2 linked regions of the Caenorhabditis elegans genome follow. The protein of the gene in region 2 purifies or fractionates together with the protein of the main gene of each other region. This does not show direct contact. Each region holds a gene or a part of one and is shown on either strand. Other genes may lie near its edges.

Region 1 (7,642 bases), on a different chromosome or scaffold from region 2:
GACTGATTTTTCAATTTGCTAATTTTTTTTTTCAATTATGTCTTGTTGTCGTGTTTTTGATAATCTGAAATTTGTTGCGTGGATTTTAATAAAATGTTTTTTTGGTACTAAAAATGTTCCTAAATTTTTCTATATTTTGCTAGTTACCGGCTCAACGAAGGTGGTATATTTTAAAATCTGAATATCTGTAAATCTACAAAAGTTAGCAAAAGATTGTCAATTAACAAAATAATCTACGCAAATTGTTCTATAAGTTGTTAATTTACAAATTTTTTGTAGCTCAACTTTGAGCATAGTTATGATAGCTCTAAGTAGGGACAGGTTACCTGATTTTTATCAATTTTAAAACTTAAATATCTCCAAAAGCATCAAAGCTAATAAAAAATGTTGGGTATCTACGTGTACCTTACCCTTAACGTGGATATGAAGATCGTGTAACGTGAACTCATTATCTATGTATACTAACTTTCTATTTATTCCTTAGTTATGTAATAATAAACTACTCGTCTTCGCCTCCTTGTTCGGCCTCGAATATATAACATTGGCGATCAGGATCTTTCGGGCTCACTGCACCACTGACTTCATGCACATGTCTACTTAGAAGAAAAGACCTCTGAGGTATTGTTTTGATCTACACATGTCTACTGGGAAGAAAAGACCTCTGAGGTGGATCAGGTCAGCTTTGGGAAGAGGCACCTGCCGTGCTCTCTGCAGTTGCAGTCAAGGTGGACAGGAGCGGCTTCTGGTTTGAAGTCGAAAAGAAGAAGGAATCATTGCTCAACTCTTTTGAAGATGCGAGTGAAGGCCACCTATGCGTTTCAAATGCTCAGTCATTGGACGATTGCACAAATTGTTATTGGTCATAACATGATCCACAACCAGGAACTGGGATACAACAGGTTGATGGTGGAACAGGCGGAATCAGTGTGGATGATTCAAGGTTGGGTCTAATATTCAGGCAGCAACGTTTTTTTAGTCTGTTGGTGAAGGGTGGATAGACATCAAAAATATTTCGATTGGTACGGGAAGTGTGGCTAACTTGGAACCCGCAATTGGAGGATGTGAACACCGAAGTACCGTGTGCAAAGGATTGGCAATATCGACGGTCACACTGGAGGGTGGTCCGTGAGAACCTCAGAAGACATTCGTGGATGGCTCCTCACCAAAGCTCTCGTTTGTCATTGAAGAGGGGAGATGTTGGGTATCTACGTGTACCTAACCCTTAACGTGGATATGAAGATCGTGTAACGTGAACTCATTATCTATGTATACTAACTTTCTATTTATTCCTTAGTTATGTAATAATAAACTACTCGTCTTCGCCTCCTTGTTCGGCCTCGAATATATAACAAAAAATTAATAACAGGCAAAATGATTTACACAACTTTCTCTATATTTTCTTAGTTGACAACTTTTTAATATCTCAACTTACCGCAGAGTTATGACGGCTCAAACTAACCTTGGCTCGCTGCCAATTTTCCCACGTTCCTCCTCCTCCTCCCCCTACCCGAACAGTCTGCCCCCAAAACTGTGTCTGCGTCTCCTTATCGCGTCCCGTCATCTAACACTCCCAACGGACCGTCTTCCCACCTGTCAATTTCCCTGTTTCTCTGCGTCTATGTTCCCTCTGCCTGTACACAATGGTCCTAGACTTGGAAAATTATCGATTTTCGGTTAGTGGTCCGAGATTACCCGCGCGCGCGCATTTTTGAGAGGCCAGCTGTGTTGGTCAATCGTTTTTCTTGCGATTAGGGGGTTTCTCTTTTCATTTTCTCAGTTTTAAAAATAGTTTTCATTTTTAATTTTGATTTTTCTCATTAAAACTTTAAAAAGCTTAAAGTTTTCTCTAATTTATTAAGTTTAACATTTAGAAAATAAGATTTTCAACCCAAATTTCCATATGAAAATCGAAATTTTATCCCCTATACAATTCAAATTCCCCACGCTCCCCAACCCTTTTCTAATTGAGTTTTGGGGTGCATCGAAAAACACGCCAGTGCACCGAAAGTGCGCCAGCTAGCCCGTTGACGGCATTCCTTCCCCCGAGGGAACACCCGCTTTCGCAATGACTTTTGAAGCCGATTTTGGAGGTCTAAACTAGTTTTTTTGAGATTTTAACTAGAAATTCGAAAAATTCAGTTTAAATTCTATATAGATCTTAGGTTTTTTGAGGAATCTAGGTAAATTTTGGATTTACCAATTGGTATAGTAAAGTTAGTGTGGTTTTTTAGATTTTTGAAGTTCTCAGCAAATTTTCCTTTAATTTTGCCAAAATTTTCTATATTTTCCACAGCGAACTTTCAATTTTAAAATACTCTGAACAAATTTACTAAATAAAATCGAAAATTTTTTGGCATTTTATCGATTTTTCTCAAGTTGCCAACTATGTAATAACCTCTATGATTTCAGAGAGATTTTTGATTTTTCCCACTTAAGTATGTCTGCACTTTAAACCAAAAATTATGGGGTTTCATGCTTAAAGTTCACATTTTTTCTGTGTCTGGGTGTGCTGCTCCGTTTTGTTCTTTTTCGTGCAGCTTCTCATTATCAAATAAAATGTTTTCAGAAATGCCCGGCGATTCGCTGACATCGTCGTCTTTCATGCCAGATGGTGGCGCAGAAACGTCGAGCTCTTCACAGTTGGGCGGCTCGGCTCACGGAGCAATTGGGTAAGGTTTTGAATTTTGTGCAAAAGTTTTGACTTAAATCTGAGTTTGGCTCGATGTGGAGCAGGAAGTCTAAGCTTCTGGGCTTGTTAGAGCTGGATTTTGGGCCCAAAAACTATATTTGGAGCCCAGAACTGGGAAACTTAAACCAGAGCCTCTAATAACTTGAATCTAGTGAAAAATCTGACACTTACAAAAAAAACTGAAGTTACTTCAGACTTGGACTTTAAATTTAGAATGTGAGCTCACATTGGCTGAGCTTCAAGTTTTTAGAATTTTGGGCTTTAGCTATAATTCTATTAAAATTTTTAGAGAATGTCCGGAAATTTCAGTCCAAGCTTAAGCTTAAGCCTAGACCTAAGCCTAAACTCACACCTAAGCCTAAGCCTAAACCTACGCCATCAAATTTAAGCCTAAGGTAAATACCACCCGACTAAACCAAAGCCAACTCTTGAGCCTAAATCAAATTCCGACCTTCAGCGTCTGTTGAAGCTTTCAATTTAGACTTAGCCTAGGCAAGCCCAGAAACTTTAGCTCCAGGCCTGATTTTTATTTAGTCTTCCTGTAAGATTCCTGAATCTCTAATTTTCCAATTTTCAGCACAAAACCCGACGCAGGCGTCCAATTCCAGTGCCCAGTCCGTCCGAACCATGGAGTCGAGGGCCGATCCATCCTCCTGCGAGCCAATCATTTTGCAGTACGGATCCCCGGAGGTTCAGTCCAACATTATCAAATTGACGTCTTTCCGGACAAGTGCCCAAGACGGGTTAATCGGTAAGTACTTTTTCTATTGATTCGGGGTTCCCTTCAAAACTTCAGCTCTGAAATTTTAATCATTTTCAGCGAGGTAATCGGCTGCCTGATCTCCTCCTTCTCAAAATATTTCACCAATATTCGACCAGTCTACGATGGAAAGCGTAACATGTACACGCGGGAGCCCCTACCAATTGGCACGGAGCCCATGAACTTTGAGGTGACGCTGCCTGGAGATTCAGCAGTGGAACGGAAGTTCTCAGTGACGATGAAGTGGATCGGTCAGGTCTGTCTGTCAGCTCTGGACGATGCCATGGAAGGTAGAGTGCGGCAGGTTCCACATGAAGCCGTTCAGTCGATCGATGTGATTCTTCGCCACTTGCCAAGTTTGAAGTACACCCCGGTTGGAAGGTCGTTTTTCACACCTCCAGGTAAGATCTCAAGTTGCTTGGTTAAGGATCTAGGACCTAGGATTTAGGATCTAGAGTATAGGATCTACGATCTAGGGTCTAGGATCTAGGATCTAGGATCTAGGATCTAGGATCTAGGATCTAGGGTCTAGGGTCTAGGATCTGGGATCTAGGATCTAGGGTGTAGGATCTAGGATCTAGGATCCAGAATCTAGAATCTAGGATCTAGGCTCTGGGATCTAGGCTCTAGGATCTAGGCTCTAGGCTCCTACGCTCCCAGACAAACTTCAATACTCCAACTATATCTTTTAGGCGTCATGAAGCCCGGCATGCAAATGCACCAGGAGAGCAAACTCGGTGGAGGCCGCGAAGTATGGTTTGGATTCCATCAATCCGTCCGACCATCCCAATGGAAGATGATGCTCAACATTGACGTCTCCGCCACGGCCTTTTACCGCGCGATGCCAGTCATCGAATTCGTCGCCGAGGTGCTCGAGCTCCCAGTCCAAGCTCTCGCCGAGCGTCGGGCCCTCTCCGATGCTCAACGCGTCAAATTCACCAAAGAGATCCGTGGACTCAAGATTGAGATCACCCATTGTGGAGCCGTGCGCCGGAAGTACAGAGTTTGCAACGTCACACGCCGCCCGGCCCAGACCCAGACCTTCCCATTGCAACTGGAGACTGGCCAAACTATTGAGTGTACTGTAGCCAAGTACTTCTTTGACAAGTACCGTATCCAGCTGAAGTACCCCCACCTTCCATGCCTCCAAGTCGGTCAGGAGCAGAAGCATACGTACCTGCCACCAGAGGTCTGCGATATTGTTCCAGGACAGCGTTGTCTGAAGAAGCTCACCGATGTGCAGACGTCCACCATGATCAAGGCCACGGCTCGTTCCGCTCCAGAGCGTGAGCGTGAGATTTGTAAGCTAGTAAGCAAGGCTGAGCTCTCCGCGGATCCATTTGCTCATGAATTCGGAATCACTATCAATCCAGCAATGACTGAAGTCAAGGGACGTGTGCTCTCGGCTCCGAAGCTTCTCTATGGAGGTCGTCATCGTGCCACAACTGCCCTTCCGAACCAGGGAGTCTGGGATATGCGCGGGAAGCAGTTCCACACTGGAATGGAAGTCCGTACCTGGGCGATTGCATGCTTTGCTCAGCAATCTCATGTCAAGGAAAATGATCTCAGGATGTTCACGACTCAATTGCAAAGGATCTCTACCGACGCTGGAATGCCAATCATCGGTACCCCTATGTTCTGCAAATATGCTTCTGGAGTGGAGCAGGTGGAGCCGATGTTCAAGTACTTGAAGCAGACCTATTCGGCGATTCAGTTGATTGTGGTGGTGCTGCCAGGAAAGACTCCGATCTATGGTAAGTTGATTAATTGTAGGTGAAAGTTCTAGGGTGTTGGTGTAAGCTTTACGCTCCTAGGTTCCAAGGATCTAGATCTTAGATCATGGAGTCCTGGGATCCTAAGCTGCTAGGCTCTTGGAATCCTAGGTTCCAAGGATCTATGGCCTAGATCATTGGGCTCTGAATCTTGGGACCAAGATCATCTATATCCTTACCTCTTCAACCCCATCTGAAGCTCTATATTTTCAGCCGAAGTGAAACGCGTCGGAGACACCGTCCTCGGAATCGCCACCCAGTGCGTCCAGGCCAAGAACGCCATCCGAACCACCCCGCAGACACTCTCCAACCTCTGTCTCAAGATGAATGTGAAGCTTGGTGGAGTCAACAGCATCCTCCTGCCAAACGTGCGTCCACGGATCTTCAACGAGCCCGTCATCTTCCTGGGTTGCGACATCACCCATCCAGCAGCCGGTGATACCCGTAAGCCATCCATCGCCGCAGTGGTAGGATCTATGGATGCTCACCCGAGTAGATATGCGGCAACAGTTCGGGTCCAGCAGCACCGTCAGGAGATCATTACGGATCTGACATATATGGTTCGAGAGTTGCTTGTCCAGTTCTACCGTAACACGAGGTTCAAGCCAGCCCGAATTGTGGTCTACAGAGATGGAGTGTCTGAGGGTCAACTCTTCAATGTGCTCCAATATGAGCTCCGCGCAATTCGTGAAGCTTGTGTGATGCTTGAGAGTGGATACCAGCCAGGAATCACATTTATCGCTGTGCAAAAGAGACATCACACAAGGCTCTTCGCCGCGGATAAAGCTGATCAAGTAGGAAAAGCATTCAACATCCCACCAGGAACAACTGTAGATGTGGGAATCACGCATCCAACGGAATTCGACTTCTTCCTCTGCTCCCACGCTGGTATCCAAGGAACATCCCGACCATCTCACTACCATGTGCTCTGGGATGACAATGATCTGACGGCCGACGAGCTTCAACAGTTGACCTACCAAATGTGTCATACCTATGTAAGATGCACGAGGTCTGTGTCGATCCCGGCGCCGGCGTACTATGCACATCTGGTGGCGTTCCGTGCTCGTTATCACTTGGTCGATAGGGATCATGGATCCGGAGAGGAAGGATCACAACCTTCGGGGACGTCGTCGGAGGATACAACATTGTCAAGCATGGCCAAGGCCGTACAGGTGAGCATTGTTTGGATTTTGAGATAGAGTGTAGGCAGAAGCATAGAGCTAGGATCTGGGCCTAGATTATTTATCTAGACTGAGATCAGGATCTGGGCTGAGGCTTGAGGCATAGGAGCCTAGGAGTCTAGAAGCGCAGTCCTTGAAGCATAGACCAAGACCCAGACCTAGACCTAGACCTATACCGAGAACTAGACCTAGACCTAGACCTAGACCTGGACCTAGACCTAGACCTAGACCTAGACCTAGACCTAGACCTAGACCTAGACCTAGACCTAAACCTAGACCTAGACCTAGACCTAGACCTAAACCTAGAACTAGACCTAAACCTTGATCTAGACCTTGATCTAGACCTAGACCTAGACCTAGACCTACACCTACACCTACACCTACACCTACACCTACACCTATACCCACGCTTTCCTAACCTACTAATTTCAACTTTTTCCAGGTTCATCCCGACTCGAACAACGTCATGTATTTTGCCTAAGTCTCCAACTACGGATTCTCTGCCATTTCACAGCCACTTGTTATCTATGCATCTCGATTTTCATTTTTCCCGTTTCCTCTGCCCCCTGAGATTTTCATGTTTTTCCTTCCCCTAATTATCAATATCAATCAATACTTTAATATCTTTCAAGCCCAGGTTTATAATATTTCCAATTATGTTAGGTGTTTAATTTTCACCAAGTTTTTTTTCCATTTTTTTCCAAATTTCTTGAGCCATTTTCCATACTAGCCACACAATGCTTTTTCGATCCTCCAAATACTTTCCATTTGTGTCTTTATCCCCCTCTGCTCTAATTAAATACGACCTTATCACTCAATTGGTACACTTTGTTGTAAACTGTCTTTCTCTTAGTATCTGAAAAAAAACCTCATGATTGTCCTGTTTTTCAACCCACCCCCACCCACAATGCCTTTTTGTGTTTCCCAATGGCAAGTCCAACAGAATAAAGTGATATTTTGGAACCCACAGGATGTCCGCTGCTATTAGGGGGCCCGTAAGATGGGCGCTGTTTCTGTACGCCAGTGAGATGTCCGCTGCTTCTAGAACACCATTAGATGTCGGCTGCTCTATTGGGCTCGGGGCATGTCCGCTGCTTTAGCAAACGCTGCTCTATTAAGCCCGTATGATGTCCGCTGCTATTAGGGAACCTGTGGGATGTCCACTGCTTCTAAAAGCCTGATTGTCTCCTACTTTGCACCAGTGATCCCGTAAGATGCCCGCTGCTTCTGAGAACCCATA
Region 2 (7,853 bases):
AACACATATTGATTTTAAAAAGTTAAATTATGAAAATAAATTGATGAATACGAGAAGAGTCATAAATAAAATAAAAACTAACAAGCAATGCAAATTTTGGCATAAAAATTCTAGACTTTTTCAAAAGAAGAAAATTAAATTTACAGCAGCAGAAAAGAACGAACTGAATAATTATATATTTGATTTCAGATTAAAAAAAAAGAATAAATCAGCATCTAACCAAGGAACGAATAATCATAATAATGATCAGGTGGTCCACCACCTCCACTACTATTAAAAGAGTCTCCACCAGCAGCACCACCTCCACCACTTCGTGAAGTACTTGGACCAGCTCCTCCATCGGATCCTGGCGGTGGTCCTCCTCTATGATTAAGATGATTGGTAGATGTATTTGCAGATGTAGATGTTTGTGGTTGTGGTGGAAGAAGCCCAGCTTCGATCAAAGCTTCGGTGATCTTTTTAGATAATTGTGTCACCTCGATCTTTGCAGTCACTACTCCGATTACTGCTTTGTCGTGATCGTTCTGTAATTTTTATTTTATTATTTTTATTCATTAAACTCTAATCTTTTAAAAAACTCTTTGTGATAACCCAGGTTCGGAAATTTACGATCTTTAGCTCTGAGATACTGTAGCAGGTCTCGAAACGATCGAAAATTATGCTGAATTCGTAGCAACTACAGTATTCTTTAATGGTACACACTTCTTTCCGTGAAAATTTTTCGATCGCTTCGAGACCTGGTACCGTACTTTTTCATCAAAAATGTTTACCTTTTGATCCTTGCTCATCCACGATTCTTTCTCCTCTTTGCTGGCTCCCTCGTCATAGTTCGAAGGGCGATTTTCTCCCTTAAAAAAGTAATTTAAAAATATGTTTCTTTTCATTCTAGTTTTTTTTAATTTTTAGCTCTTCACCACCATTCTATAGACACAGAATTTTGCGATTTTTTGAGAATAAATACAGTGCCCGGTCTCGACACGAAAAATGTGTGCTCAATGCAAAAGTATGTGCGCCTATAAATAGTACCGTGATTCAAAACCTTCTTTACTGCGGAATTTTCTTCGATTTTTCAATTAACTAAAAATCTTTCAAACTAACAAATCGTGAGAAAAACTGTGGAAAATTAATTCCAAATCCGCAGTAACGAAAATGTGAAACTACAGTACTCTTTAAAGGTGCACACCTTTGTGAATTTAACAAAATATGTAGTGGCGAGACCCGCAAAAATCGCAATATTTTGCGTCTGTGTAATATTATTATCCCAATAAAATACACACCAATTTTTTGAGCTCATCCTCATAGTCGTCCAAACGCGGAATGACCGCCAAAATTTCGGTGAGCAAGTCGAGCACGTTGGGCGGAATGTGCGGAAGTGAGAGTAGGGAAATATCCAAATGACCCTTCTGAACGGCTAATTTCAGATTTTCAGCCAGCTTCTTCTGGCTACCATCCTCGTCCAACAATGAAGATGAGGATGGTGGTCCGCCTCCAACATTTCCACTGCCGCTCATCATCAACATGCCAATTGGAATTGATGACGATGAAGCTGATGATCCGACACCCATTGTTGGATGTGGTGGTACCATTGAGGATCCTGCAAGAAAATATTCATTAAAAAATAATATTCATTAATAAAAAATTACGGGGAAACTAAAAGCTATAGTTTGGGGCGCCGCTCCAGTCCACTGTAAATCGACATGAGATCTCATGTCGATTTCCGGTGGACTACGCGCGATTTTACAGTTTCTGTTAAAATTTTGTATTCTGGACCGTTTCCCTCATTTCTTTCTGTATTTCCCACTTAAAAGGGAAACAGTAATTATGGGGTTTTCATAAATAAATTAATCGATTTTTACTTGAAATACTAGCTTTTTAGGTTAATACAGAAGGAAAACAGTCCAGGATCAAGAATTTAGCAGAAACTGGGAAATCGTGCAGACAAATAAATTCTGGGTTGTCGACATAAAAGACGCGCGGCAGGGTTGCAGTCGGAGCTCCGCCTCCTCTAACCATTCTATTCCTAAATTCTATTTTCTGGTACGAACCATCCATGACAGCAGCAGACCACAATGATCCACCATCAAGCACCCCATTATCACCATAACCTCCATAGTGTGGCTGATGTTGTTGTTGATGTTGTTGCTGTTGCATGTGTTGAGCAAAGAATGGATTACGTGTTTCACTATTTGATTGACCTCCTCCAACTGATGGACTATTCCACATTGAATTATCATTTGATTGATGATGAGATGGATGACGTCCACTTCCACCACCGCTTATACTTCCTTCATCCCAACCACGTGACGAGCTTTGATCGAATTCTGAATCTTTTGAAACTTTAGTACAATATTGCATTTTTTCTCGTTATAAATGCCAATCGTATAATGTTTCAATTTTGTTAAACATTTTTTGGATAAAAATGAAAAACTGTTTTTAAATAGTATTTGGCGGCAAAACCGTAAATTAAATCGTTTTCAATTATTTTCGCCAATTTTCAAACATTTTTCGTCCCTTTTGTTGAGTTTTTAATGGTTTTTACTAATTCTTACAATTTTCACCTTGAATTGATGCATAAAAAATACATGAAGATTTTTTTTTCATTTGTTTATGAATTTTATCATCAATTTCGATGTAAAAAAATATTTAAAAAAACGGAAAACGCAACAAAAAAATTGGTATAATTAATTTTAAACGAATAAATTAATGGTTTTACCACCAAATACGGAAGTAGGATTAAAAAGAAAAAACGAACCACTCTTGTCAGTACTAATTTCAGATGGAATATCACCCCATCCACTGGGAACAATGGGTCTTCGTCCAATCCTCATCATAGCATTCGCCTCTTCTTCGGCTTGTTGTTGAGCTTGTGCCACTATTTGTGGATTTTCAGATGTTAAACGTCGACGAAGAGCTTCTTCATTCAATGCTTTCTTTTTCAAATGACTTGGACATCGTTCCATTGCCGTTTCAAAGTCTTCTTCTTGGCCTTCTGGCACAATCCAACGGCGAATTGGTTTACTGTCTGGAAGCAAGAAGATTAAGAATTTAATATTCAGAATTTTCAGAAAACTTACTTGATACATCAGCATCACCCCATCCACTCAATCCCTTATCTCTCAACGATTTTTTCTTTTTCGCGTCTTCATCATTCTCATCAGTCCACATTGAATAATCATCCATTGATGATGATGAAACTCCGAATCCTCCATTCTGATTTCCACCTGGTCCGTGCTGTTCGTGTGGTCCTCCTTGTGATCCTCCACCACCTCCACCCATTGAGAATGGCGACGGAGCAAATGAGGGTTGTTGATGATGATGATTCGGTTGATTTCCACCATAAAATGGAGGCTGACCAGGTGGAACCATCATTGGTGGCATATTGAATCCCTGTTGAGGCTGTTGCTGCTGCTGCCTCTGTTGATTCCCTCGATAACCACCTTGACCTCCTTGCATTCGATTCCCGTATTGATTCTGATTATTTCCACGTTGTCCATATGGTGGCATATGAGATGGATGATGTCCTCCACCACCACCAGCTCCACCACCATATCCCGAAGGATCATAGAGATCGTCTTGTTGAGGTGGAGGTACAAATGGAGCAGGTTGATTCCATTGTTGGACTGGCGGTGGACCCATATCACCATATTGTCCAGGAATTCCTGATGGTGTCGATCCTAATGACATACCATCCATTCGCATATTAATATCCATCACATCAGGCATTCCACCCATTGGTGGTGGTGGAGGATATTGAGGCATAAATTGTCCTTGTTGTGGTCGGAATCCGTGTGGCATCATACGATTCATTCCACCTGAAAAATAGAAGTTTGAATTTTGAATCAATTTTTAAATCATTTTTTTAAATCTCAGTAATCGCTACAGGTGCCGAATTTTACAGACTTGCTGATTTGATGATATTGAAAATTAGTTTTCATATAATTTGAAATTCTAAATAGCAGCAAATTTATTTCTTTAATAATTTTAAAATAATTTCTTAAATAATTTCTAGTCACCCAAAAAACGAATCAAATCTTACCATGATGGGGATTCTGTTGTATTCTTTGATTGTGCATACCACCACCTCCACCACGTCGTCCTCCTCCGCCACCATTCATGTGATGTGGTCCTCCACGCCCAGGTCCTTGCCAACCGTCCCCGTTCATACCCGGATCCGCCTCGTATGGCTGAAAAATGTTATGAGTTTTATGGAACAGAATCCAATAAAAAATTGGTGCAAAGAAATTGACATTACTTCCGCGTCTAAGAGATTCGGAGCTTCAAGCAGAGAATCAAAAGAGCAAGAAACCAAAAGATATGATACTTCAAAACTTGGAAGGCCGATAAATCGAATTTTTTGAGCAAAGGTAGGGGTACGGTAATTTTCTGGAGCACTTAAAAAAACATAATATTTTAATTTTTAAGCTTTTCAGCCAATTTTTTTTCGGTTGGTTTTTTAGCCCTGAAGCTGAAAAGCAGGTGAAACCCAGAGTAACATCGTAAAACAGGCTTTCTCTAGTAGAAATCTTCTCGGAAAGGGATATATAGTTAAGGATAGAAATGGAAAATGTATACGAGAACGGGTCTCTCTGAGAATAGTCCGGTCTTGTACCACGGTTCGGACTATATATATACATTAAGCCAAGCGATACGAAGAAATGACGCTCTAATGATAAGTTGGAAAGTGCATAATTTAGATTATAAAACCTCGGAAATTCTACGAAAATCTTAGGTGGAGTAGTATCTGCGGAGTTTTTGTCCGAAATTACCGAATATGCGTGCTTAGATTTTTTTTGTTGCAATTTTGCAACAAAAAACGATCGTGTATTAATTGGTTGTTCTTTGTTATATCACTAATTTGAAACACCTTTCGCCACATTTTTAGATATCTAAACTTAATAACCCGGCAAAATTTCGCCGAAATTCTAAAATTGGCGGAAAAATCAATAATTTAATACTTTACAGAAAACAAATCTGAAAATGTGACGCATAATGCTTCAAATTGCGAAACAATGAAAAACTGTATGCCAAAATGGTGGAACCTATTGGTTATTCAAAATAATTTGGCCGTTTTTTAGTTGCAAAATAGAAAAAAATAGTTTTTTGAGTGGAGTTTTCGAATTCAAACAAAAACATCAACGAAAAATTTCGTAAATCCGAGAATTAAAAAAAATCAAATTCCAAAACTACAAGAGTCCCTGTCACTGATCGAGACGTGGAGGAATAAGAAACAAAGAGTGTCAGTGACACAGTACGCTAGAATACGCGACGCAGACAAAAAGTGGACCCCAAGTCGGAGGACACGGACGGAGGTCGACATGACCAATCGATAGAGAGTTCGTTGCGAGAGAGAAAGAAACACGAGACGCAGAGACATGAACAAGAAGACGGGCGGTGTAGTGGTGTGGCGGTGGCGGTTCCTGGGGTGGTTTCCAGCGAAAAAAAAAACGACGAAGGGCACCAAGACGCAGAGACATTGTGCATTAAATATACGTATATATGTACAATATGAAGAAAAAGGAGAAGCAAAGCGTGGAGAGTCTGCACAAAAAAACGTACATTTTTTATTCAAGGAGCGCCCGACAATATGGGCGCCCTCGTTTTCCCCTCCCTCCACAACGACACCTTCTAGGAGGACAATGTATGAGATAATGTAGATTTTTGAAGAGACGGCAGACATTATGAGATGAGAATTCTTGATATCGGAGATTGACCATGAAAAGTGCGGAGAACGGTCAGATGACGTCATCTTCTGGTTTTCTTAGTTATTTTTTATTAACTTGTGCCCAATCAACAGTTTCTTCATGTTAATGATGACTTTAAATTGATTTTTTTAAAATTTCACTCACAACATATTGTTGAGAGTAACTCGACGGAGATCGTGTATCAACGTGTAATTGGCGATAGGGAGGTTGCCGCCGATAATTCGGATCATTGCCTGAAAAATAATTATTGTTTAGAATTAATTGAGCGAAAATATATTGACGAAATACCTTGATATCCGTGCATTTCCACGCAAAACTCTTTTAAAATTTGTTTTTTTCGCGTCTTGCTGTGATTTTTCTGAAAATAAGATACGGAATGTTTAAAAATAATGTTTAAAATCAAAATTTTGATCGAAAATTCGGAAAAAAAATGCACAAAAACGAAGAAGAATGAGTGAAAATGATGAAATATGAATTTGATTTCGAATTTTCGCGGACAAGGGTTACTGTAGTTTTTAAAGGCGCATGCCTCGATTTGAAAAAGTTTACAGGCACAGAAATTTGCTTTTTGAGTGAAAACTTAATAAATATCAGTCCATTGTTTTGAAATCACCTAATTAAAATTGAAAATAAATATTTTGCACTATTTTTTCTATTTAAAATTTCAAAATTCTCCGAATATAAAATTTTAACACGACTACAGTAATCCTTCGCTTGAAATTATTGCGTATTTTGATGCAGAAACTATAATCCTGCTGTCGTAATAAGATGATTAGTTGAAAAGAGAGACGATGACAATCATATCATAATTGTAATCAATTATTTGCAAACACCAGCGCCAGTATATAAATTATTCGTTGAACACACATAATTCTTCCATTTTTCTCCATTTTTTTCTTTTTTTTAATAAAATAAATTATTTGAATGTTCAGAATGCCAATTGTAACTATGGAACGAGTCGATTCGTTCTCCGCAGCACATCGTCTTCACTCTGAAAAGCTGAGCGACGCTGAAAATAAGGAAACTTTTGGAAAATGCAATAATTCAAATGGTCATGGACATAATTATGTTTGGAAGGTTTAAAAATTTTATTTTTTAATAAAATAAAAATAATTTCGAAAAATTTCAGGTAAAGCTCCGCGGAGAAGTTGATCCGACGAGTGGAATGGTGTATGACCTGGCAAAGCTGAAAAAAGAAATGAGTTTAGTGCTGGATACGGTAGATCACAGGAATTTGGATAAAGACGTGGAATTTTTTAAGGTACTGTAGACAGATTATGCGTCATTAAAAATGCTATTCAAAGTGTGGGTCTTGGCACGAGCGAAACTTTTCAGCTACAGTACCATCTAGTATGGTTTAAATGTTTTTTGTTTAAAAGATTCGAGAATTTTGCTATTGAAAAAAATCTAAATTAAATTTTTTTTGTTATCATAAAAAATTTCGGAAGGACCCAAGACCGCAATTTCGCGTTTCAAAACCAAGATAAATACTTTTTTCCAATTTCAGACAACTGTGAGCACATCTGAAAACGTGGCAATTTATATGTTCGAGAAGCTGAAATCCGTAATGTCGAATCCATCGGTTTTGTATAAAGTGACAATTGAGGAGACACCCAAGAATATTTTCACTTATAAAGGATGTTAATTTCTGAAATAAATAGTTTTTGAATAAAACCATAAAACCAATTTTTCAAGCCTTTTAGCAATAGAGCGTGTTTCCAAAAAAAGTCTAGATTTAATCGGATTAATTGTTTCGAAACTGTCGACGACAAACGCCCGGAAAAAATAACTATATGTGTTGTTGTAACAGCAGATTCTGATCATCAACATTTACAAAAACCCTGTTTATTCCAATTCCACTGTCCTCTTTCCGCCGCCACACTACACTTCCCCTTTTCACTTCTTTTGCCGTCTTTTGCCCCACTATATTCCTCGGCTTTCTCCCCACTCATTATCTGTGTCTCTCGTGACTAGAGTGCTATTTCATACGCACCTTCCACACACACACACACACACAAGGAGCCAAATTTGCACAAGCTTTTTCGTCATTTTTTCGTCATTTTTTTCAAATGTGAATTTTTAGAAAACTTGAAAACTATAATTTTGTATTTTCACCTAAAATTACTGCAAACTCTTGTATTGAAAATTTGA

Evidence for each region. Proteins that work in one complex are often made in the same cells at the same time.
Region 1: the proteins of ain-2 (region 2) and alg-2 purify together in Caenorhabditis elegans (affinity purification with mass spectrometry, with the first as the bait; one study listed by BioGRID). This does not show direct contact.

Annotation. Positions count from the first base shown.
Region 1 is NC_003280.10:871,594-879,235, forward strand, and holds the start of alg-2 (Protein argonaute-1), read left to right. Parts: upstream 1-1,618; coding exon 1,619-1,673; intron 1,674-2,058; exon of another isoform or gene 2,059-2,187; intron 2,188-2,566; coding exon 2,567-2,669; intron 2,670-3,266; coding exon 3,267-3,440; intron 3,441-3,509; coding exon 3,510-3,850; intron 3,851-3,893; exon of another isoform or gene 3,894-4,094; intron 4,095-4,141; coding exon 4,142-5,203; intron 5,204-5,434; coding exon 5,435-6,393; intron 6,394-6,844; coding exon 6,845-6,883; 3' UTR 6,884-7,642. Other genes in the region: fbxc-51 (F-box C protein), read left to right, coding at 1-6.
Region 2 is NC_003279.8:4,651,680-4,659,532, reverse strand, and holds ain-2 (ALG-1), read right to left. Parts: upstream 6,007-7,853; coding exon 5,991-6,006; intron 5,936-5,990; coding exon 5,847-5,935; intron 4,191-5,846; exon of another isoform or gene 4,185-4,190; coding exon 4,037-4,184; intron 3,813-4,036; coding exon 3,075-3,812; intron 3,023-3,074; coding exon 2,753-3,022; intron 2,328-2,752; coding exon 2,046-2,327; intron 1,595-2,045; coding exon 1,278-1,594; intron 849-1,277; coding exon 771-848; intron 525-770; coding exon 216-524; downstream 1-215. Other genes in the region: ptps-1 (Putative 6-pyruvoyl tetrahydrobiopterin synthase), read left to right, coding at 6,627-6,779, 6,832-6,963, 7,210-7,347.